2 linked regions of the Macaca fascicularis genome follow. The protein of the gene in region 2 purifies or fractionates together with the protein of the main gene of each other region. This does not show direct contact. Links are inferred from orthologs where the notes say so. Each region holds a gene or a part of one and is shown on either strand. Other genes may lie near its edges.

Evidence for each region.
Region 1: the proteins of ZYX (region 2) and ENAH purify together in Homo sapiens (co-immunoprecipitation; 4 studies listed by BioGRID and IntAct, counting the BioPlex papers as one, with this or other methods). This does not show direct contact. The link is inferred for Macaca fascicularis from reciprocal best matches to the Homo sapiens genes ZYX and ENAH.

The regions. Positions count from the first base shown.
Region 1 is NC_088375.1:83,404,132-83,407,937, forward strand, and holds part of ENAH (protein enabled homolog), read right to left. Parts: intron 2,503-3,806; coding exon 2,357-2,502; intron 2,201-2,356; coding exon 2,143-2,200; intron 1,369-2,142; coding exon 1,320-1,368; intron 1-1,319. UniProt on the Homo sapiens protein: Ena/VASP proteins are actin-associated proteins involved in a range of processes dependent on cytoskeleton remodeling and cell polarity such as axon guidance and lamellipodial and filopodial dynamics in migrating cells.
Region 2 is NC_088377.1:185,243,830-185,248,311, reverse strand, and holds the start of ZYX (zyxin), read right to left. Parts: upstream 2,996-4,482; 5' UTR 2,926-2,995; intron 2,784-2,925; 5' UTR 2,769-2,783; coding exon 2,561-2,768; intron 2,095-2,560; coding exon 1,895-2,094; intron 1,752-1,894; coding exon 1,659-1,751; intron 1,544-1,658; coding exon 1,022-1,543; intron 1-1,021. UniProt on the Homo sapiens protein: Adhesion plaque protein. Binds alpha-actinin and the CRP protein. Important for targeting TES and ENA/VASP family members to focal adhesions and for the formation of actin-rich structures.

The sequences.
Region 1 (3,806 bases), on a different chromosome or scaffold from region 2:
AAAGCTAAAATAAGTGGGTCACAAAGCACTGAATTTTTAATTAAAGTAACATAAATTGAGTCCTATTCAGAGGGAAAACAAAGCCATGATGTTAATTATGGTACAGCAATCAGTCTACTGAAGAGTCACTATTTAATAATGAGAATGAGGAATGGGGGGTGGGGGTGTGAAAAGATGGATTACAATCACAAAAAACAAAAACAGAAGTACTTAAAAAAAAAAAACAAAGGGAATTCTAGGTGGCACATTGTGGCTCATGCCTGTAATCCCAGCACTTTGGGAGACTGAAACAGCTGGATCACTTGAGTTCAGGAGTTTGAGACCAGCCTGGGCAACATGGTGAAACCCTGTCTCTACCAAAAATGCAAACAATTAGCCAGGAGTGGTGCTATGCACCTGGGGCCTCAGCTACTTGGGGGGTTGGGGGCTAAGGTGGGAGGATCACTTGAGCCTAGGAGGTAGAGGATGCAGTGAGCCAATATCGCACCATTGCACTCCAGCCTGGGCAACAGAGTGAGACCCCATCTCAAAAAAATAAAACAATGAAAATTAAAAAGGTAACTGTAGATGCAGTTGGTTGTCTTTAAATCAAAACTGTAGGAATATAAGCATTTCTCTATACTGGTTTCCTATGGACCACTCTAGATATTAACTCATCAAGTTTATTTATGTTGTTTCATTCCAGAATAGATAAGGAGTTGGATAGTCCAGCCCTTAGTCTTTAATCAAATATGAAGAAATAACTTGTGAATATGTAATGAGTTCATATTCTCATCTTGGATACAGCACTCATCAAGTACCTCTAGTGAAATATACTTTGTTAATAATCTAGGTGATTTACTGGATGCTCAAGAATTCTCAATGTCAGAAATTTCACTGAATTCAAGAACACTTCCCCAAAATTTTAAGGAGACTTTTTAAATTTACAAATCAGAAACTTTATTCCCTTAATTATCAATATCACCCAAATGAATGGCTAGGATACCCTTCTCAATTTGAGAATGTTCTGAGGGAGACTGCAGTACTAACTAACATGCTCACTTTATTTTTACCTTTAGGAAAACAATTATGAAAAATACTTCTCGTCATCTAATAGTACATTAATATTTTCCTTGTTTTAGTAAGTAACCTCAAGAAAGTAACAGCAGCTTCCAGGAGGAAAAAAGTTAATTAATGCTTTCAGGTGTGAACAAAGAACTCTGGCATTTTGGTGTCTAGTCACTTGGTCCAAACATGGGGAAAGGAGGAATTTTTAACTGGGGAGTATTAATACTTTCAGAGAAAGTTTATAAAGGTTAAAATATTTATCTTGAACTTACCAGGTGTACTTGTTGAAGAGGCCTTAGAAGTTACAGGCTCTGAATCTTCCTAAATGTACAGATACATATTAATATCACATCTACCAGTCCCCTGCTGCTATATACATTTAGTGTTTTACACATGCACTTCTAATATTCTTTCTGCCACTCCCCACTTTCTCTTTCATCGGTCTTCTCTCCCTTTCATTTCAGCTTAGACTTCTTTCTTCTCCTGTTTTCAATCACCTCCCCTTCAACCCTCCCCACAGTTCCTTTCCTCATATGTGTTCTCCCTGAGAACTTTCACTAGCCAATGCTACAAAGCCAGACACAAGAGACAGATTTGAGGAATGGTATCAAAGGCAGCCAAATGGAGCAAGGGAAACATATTATTTGTTGCACGCCAATATATAGCACAGACAAAGCAGAGTGTGCCCAGCTGAATCAGGGAGGAGGGCATGAAGGATACACTCTTAAGGGGCACAGCCAATAACCATCGAGCTCCTAGGGGAAATATATGAATTTAGGCTAATTCCTTCCTTTTAAATTAATGCAAGGGAAATGAAATGTCATTCACTCATTTAAGGAACAGAATTAAACTCCACAGGTTTGAACTTCAATGCTTTTCCCACAACTCCAAATACTCAACTCATTTTACTAAGACTGCCATTTAAAATTTATAAATAACAGTCAAAACAAGCCACTTCACATGCATAAATAGTTAAAAATTAGCAAATATAAGTTCAAGCTAATTAAGTTCAAATTAAATAAATGCTGACACTATTTCCTGAATGGGCTGTGCTTGAATACCATATTTTAAGATAGACTATCTTTATTAACTTACACCTTTGTCCTCTTTCTGTTCTGTTTCTACTGTTGATCCCTTTTCAGCAATTCTTCTCCTACAAAGAAGGCAAATCCAATTTTTAAAAATATTATCTGATTCAGTATAAAAACCACTTCTCTATGAGGAAAGAAGTGCATCTAGTTAGTTGTATTCGGAATAAAATTAAAATCCTCTCAATTCTGGGCATGTCCATTATAATGAAATTCCTTACCTCCTGGCCAGCAGGGCACTCATTTCTTCCATTAAACCACTACCCCCTAAAGGAAGGGGTCCATTTCCACGGCCTGTATCTGCTTTAGATGAGGCCGAGTTCACACCAATAGCATTCCCTCCACTTGGGAAAGAGGCATCCTCCATCTTAATGAGAATACACAGACATAATCAACTCCTATGTTAGACAACCGTATTTTTATTAATATATTACATCTAAAACAGAAGGAAACATCAGCATTAATTTTTAAAAACCTAAATATTATTTGTAAGCTTTAAGAACCAATAGATTTTCAGTATTGATTTTATATACCAACAAGAGTTTATCAAAACTACTATCAACAAGAATGCAATGAAACAGTATCATGTGTCTCTTCCTGTGTTGCCCTGAAAAGGGCATAACTTTGCTTTGATAATATTCCTGCTAAAACAACCCCTGCATAACTTGAATCTAATCTTGAGGAAAAATCAGATAAGCCAAACTGAAGGATACCAGGCAAAATAACTGCCTACAGTCTTCAAAAATGCTAGTATTCTGAAAGATTGAGGAATTATCATAAAGTAGATCAAAGAGACATTAGAACTAAATGCAATAATGATCTTGCACTATGAAAAAAACTGTCACTAAAGACGTCATTGGACTATAGATGAAATTTGAATATTAATACATTTGTAGATTACAGTATTCTATCAATGTTAACTTTCCTGATTTTGATAATTACATTACTGGTTATGCAGGTAAATGTCCTTGTTCTTATAAAATTCACACTGAGGTACTTAGGAAAATAGAAGCTTGTGTCTCTGAGTTACTCTCAAATCATTCAAACAAAAGTGCATGTGTAGGCCAGGTGCGATGGCTCACAACTGTAATCCCAGCATTTTGGGAGGCTGAGGCGGGTGGATCACCTGAGGTCAGGATTTCAAGACCAGCCTGGTCAACATCACGAAACCCTATCTCTACTAAAAATACAAAAATTAGCTGGGCATGGTGGTTGGCGCCTGTGATCCCAGCTACTCAGGAGGCTGAGGCAGAATCGCTTGAACCTGGGAGGTGGAGATTGCAGTGAGCTGAGATCGCGCCACTGCACTCCAGTCTGGATAACAAGAGTGAAACTCCGTCTCAAAAGAAAAAAAAAAAATGCATGTGTAAAGAAGGAAACATACCCGAAGAAGGAATAAAAAAGCAAATACTGGTAAAATGTTGATGGGTGAACCTACGTGATTAATTTATAGAAATTATTTATACTATTTTTACAACTTTACTATAAAAATTTTAATTATATCAATTCTTAATTTTTTATTTATTTTATGTTTTGAAACTAAGTCTCACTCTGTCACCCAGGCTGGAGTGCAGTGGCACGATCTCGGTTCACTGCAACCTCTACCTCCCGGGTTCCAGTGATTCTCCTGCCTCCGCCTCCTGAACAGCTGGGATTATAGGCACGTGTCAC
Region 2 (4,482 bases):
TGCTCTCCAAACATCCCTCTCCTCTCCGGATTCTTACGTCCTGCCCATCCTTCGAAGCCTCTCCTAATTTGCCAGGCCCCAAGTGGACTTCCTGGTCTGAGTGCCTGTGACTCACAGGATTCTGCAAAGCTCACTGGTCCTTGGCATTTCTTCCTATGCTGTGTCTGAGTGTAAGTAGACATCCACACTATCAGTGGACTCTATGGATGCTTGGACCAGCATCATCATCACCAGAAACTGGAAGGTCTTATTTCCTGAACTAGAAGGCAAGAACCATTTTGTAATTACAGCTTTTGTATTTTGAGCATTCATGTGCTAGATACAGAACCCAACACTCTCTAGGTTATTAGTTCACCTAATCTTTACAACCACTGTATGGAGTAGATAATGTTAAAGATTGAGAAACTGAGGCTCAGGGTTCACCTAACTTGCCCAGTCTAAGGGCTTGGGAGAAGCCCGAACCAGGAATTCCATTCCAGGTCCATCTGACACCTGAAGGCTGAGCTTCTTGCAGAGATCTCGTCCTTCCCATGTCCTACCCTCCTGAGCACAGAGCACAGTGCCTGGCACGTGGTAGATGCTGGCTCAGCCAATGTTTACTGGGGCTGACTCTTATCTCCAAGCCCTCAGGCAGAAAGAGTGCTCAGAGGAGCAGGGAGATTAACTCAAGACCCAAGAATGGGAAAAACCAAGGTGGGACTGGTGATCTCATCCCTCCCTTTAACTTTCTGGGGTAAAGGCGCAAGGAAAGGTCCACCAGATCCTCCTAATTCAGAGCCTGTGCTCTCTGTGCCCTCCCAGCCAGGCCCCACCCAGCCCCACACCCAGCCAGGCCTCTCCTCCAGAAGAGCATTTTCTTACCACTGTTCCACCAGGCTAACCTCAGAGGATGAAACTTCCTGTCCCGCCACCCCCGTGTCCACCCTGACTCTCCAATCACCTTCATGCTTCTGTTCTGGCTCCTGACTCAGCCCCGCCCCAGCACCCGGGTCCCAAGCCTTGTCCTATCACCATCCCTTACCTGGTTTTGGTTCTGAGCCGGTGCGGGCACTGGGTGCTGCTTCTCCTGCACTCGGGGCTTCTCCCTCTGCTGAGCATAGGTGAAGCTGGGAGGTTGAGGGGAGCCTGTGCCAGCGGAAAGAGCTTCGGGATGCCCCAATTTTTGATTTGGCTGTGACCCAGATCCACCTGGGGCTCCAGGACTGAACTTGGAAGCCACGGGAGTAAACTTAGGAGTCACTGGAGAAAACTTAGGGGCTGGAGCTGGCGATGAGGCTGGGGGACCTCGGGGCTGGGTGTTAGCCAAAGACACAGGCTGGGGCTGGGACTGGACATGGAGTTGGACCTGAGGCTTGGGCTGGGGCTGGGGCTGAACATGGAACTGTGTCTGGCTCTGAGCTGGAGCCGGAACCTGGGGCAGAGGCTGGGAGCTGGAAGGGGCCTTCCAAGGAGGCAGGGGTGCTGTGCCCCCAGCTGCAGGCTTAGTACTGGACTTGGAAATGAATGGAGTGGCCACTGGTGGGGGGACATATCCAGATGACACCTGCAAGGGGTGGGAGAGGGAAGAGAGATGCAGACAGGAGGACACCATCCTCCATAGCTCTATCCCCTGTCTCTCTGGCCCTGGGCCCTGCTTTTCCTACTTTGCGGTCCCTTACCCGAGCTTTGAAAGGATCATTCTTGGTCATGTCATCCAGCAGTGAGGACAGAGAGTCGATCTCCAAATCAATACTGCTCACCTTCTCCCTGGGCTAGAGGGTCAGAGGTCAGAGCACCTATTCCATGCCTCCATTCCCCCCACCCCCAAGGCAGAGGTGCAGGGGAGGTAAGAAAGGGCCCTCTTCTCCTCGCCTTGGGGGTGTCCGGTACAGCCGCCCCTCCCAGGCCTCCATACCTGCGGTGGGGACGGTATGGGGGCCTCAGGCCCTCCCTCCTCTTCCAGAGGAGGCGGCGGGGAAGGGAAGATCTCCTCCTCCAGAGGCGCAGGGGGAAATGATTCCTCGATCGGCGGAGGGGGCGGCGGGAAGGCACCTCCCAGAGCACCCTCCGCATCGTCGCCATCCCCGGCGAGGGGAGGTGGAGGCAGGGGAAAGTCTGGGGTAGGAAGGAGAAAGACGTCGCCCGGGGTCCCTCTGCCCCTCACCCAAGCTCCCCTCGGTTTACCGCTCTAACCCCTAACCCAAGAATTCTCTCGAGGGTCCCAGAGCGTGTGGGGACGCAAAGGCGGGGCGCAGGGCGCCCTGGGAGTACCAGGTCAGGAAAGGCCGGGGGCACGGCCGAGGAGTGGTGCAGCTCCCGTTACACTTCGGAAAACGGACCCGGAGGGGAAGATTCGTGCCCCACATTCCCGCCTCCCACCCCCAAGCGGGGGACTTGGAACGGTCCCAGGAGCTCTGGCTCCCAGCCACGAGCTCCACGATGAGGTAAGAACATCTGCTCGGGACAGGGTGGCTGCGCCCAGCCCCCTAGGCAACAACCTTTCCAGACATCCCCAGATTCCCGAAACAGTGCCCCCCCTCCGGCGCCCGCTGGGGTCCAGCCCCCAAGCCCCGCCGCATACCTTCCGGGGGCGGCGGGGGAATCTCGCCCACCCGGCCCATCTGTGCGCGCTGGGCCCCGGGTGCCGGGGGAGGCTCGCTGTCCCCGGGCCGGAAGGGATTCACTTTGGGTTTTGGGGCCACCACAGGGCCGAACTTCTTCTGGGGGGCGTAAAAAGCCGGAGCCGAGACCGAAACGGAGATCGCGGGAGACGGGCGGGGGGCCGCCATGGCCGGGCCGGGCTGCTGGGGTGGGTCGCCGGGTTACGCAGCGCAGAGCCCGGCTCAGGAGCCCCGGGCGGTCCCAGCTCCCCTTGGCGACCCCCATGCGCCCCCTCCCGGCGCCCCGCGCCCCCTCCCCGTGGGGCCGCCCTGCCGCTCCCCGCACCTCACCGCGGGCCGGAGCGTGCGCGCCGCGTCTCGGGTGGCCTCCTCGGCGCCGGGTCCACGGACTCTGCGTCCCAGTCCGGAGCAGCCTCCAGCCGGGCGGGGAGGGACACACGGAAGGAGGAGGGAGGGAGGAGGGAGGGGGCGGGGAGAGAGCGGCGCCCAGACCATACAAGGAGCGGCCCGGAGAGGGGGCGGGGAGAGCGGGGAAGGGCGGACCAGGCAGGAAACTCCCCCAGGAAGGGGCCCTGATCCTGCCTCAGGCCAGAGGCTCCGCCGAGGTCCGCCCGCCGCCACCCCACTCCACTCACTGCCGCCCCCGCCGCCCCGGCCCGGCTCAGACCCCCGCTCCCTGAGCACAGGCCTCTGATGTCATTTCCTGACCTGCCCTCCCCCCATGCCCGACCCGCGGGTGCCCGAGATCTGACTCACAGTCCCCCTCCGGGCTTAGCCGGCGGAGGTGGGGCGGGTGCCGCAGAGGTAGCCACGCAGCCCCTGTGCGCCTCCGGCCCGGCCCAGCGACCTCCTCTCCGGCCTGCAGTTACCCGGTCCCCTCCCGCCACCACCCGCTACCCGACCACCTCCGAGTCCGCCTGGGGTGGCCGAACGTATGGAGCTGGGCTCCAGGGTGCACAAGGATGGGGGATGAGGAGCGGGGCGTTCTCCCTCCCAGCACCCCCCAGCTGACTCTGTGCCCGGAGCGGGTGTGTGAGCTGGAACCTCCAGCATTCTCGGGGATACGAACTTCCAACGCTGGGCAGCCTCTTAAGGCTTCTAGGAATTCGCATCCTCCGCGCCCCCGCCATAGGATCGGTTGCGAGAGGGACCGTTCGGGCCCGCGGGGCCGGGAATGGAGGTGGGAGGGCGGGGCCGAGGCGGCGGCCGCCTGCGGACTGGGGACCCGGGAGGACGGACGCGGACGCGGGCTGCTAGTCTTTTACAGCTCTTCAGCGCCCACCACTACCCACTCCTCTAGAAGACCCCGGGCGACGGTGGGGCTCTTGGGCATTCTGAGACTGCGCTTGGTGGAGCCCCCTACTGGCCCGACCAGATTTCTCAGCCTGCGACTCAGCCCCAGGCTACGCGAAAGAGGCCGGACCCGGGTAATTCTTCTAGTTCTTCTTCTTCTTCTTCTTCTTTTTTTTTAATTGCGCTGGGAAACTTACCCAATCTCGGCCCCAGTTCTTTCCCACTCACTATCTGCAAACTAAGGAGTCATGGCCTTTCGCCCGCTAGTCCAATATGCATCCCTAGGCGCTTCATTTTATCTCCTCTTGTCAGCTTTTACTGCCTCCTGAGGCCTTCCTCTTGTTCACCCTGAGTGTCCAGTCCCTCCAAATCTGACTACACTCTACTGGCAAGGAACACCTGGGCCATGTTTTAGAGATCATCCGAAGACTAACACCAAAAGTTTATGAAGAGAAAGCAGAGGCCGAGCTGGAGATGGACCCGGGTCACACCCAGGTAGAGGCAGGATCTAAACTGAAACTGGTGTCAAATCTTTTTGCCTTGAAGCAACACTGGGCAGGATAGAGCAGAGTGAGGTCCGAGTGTGAAG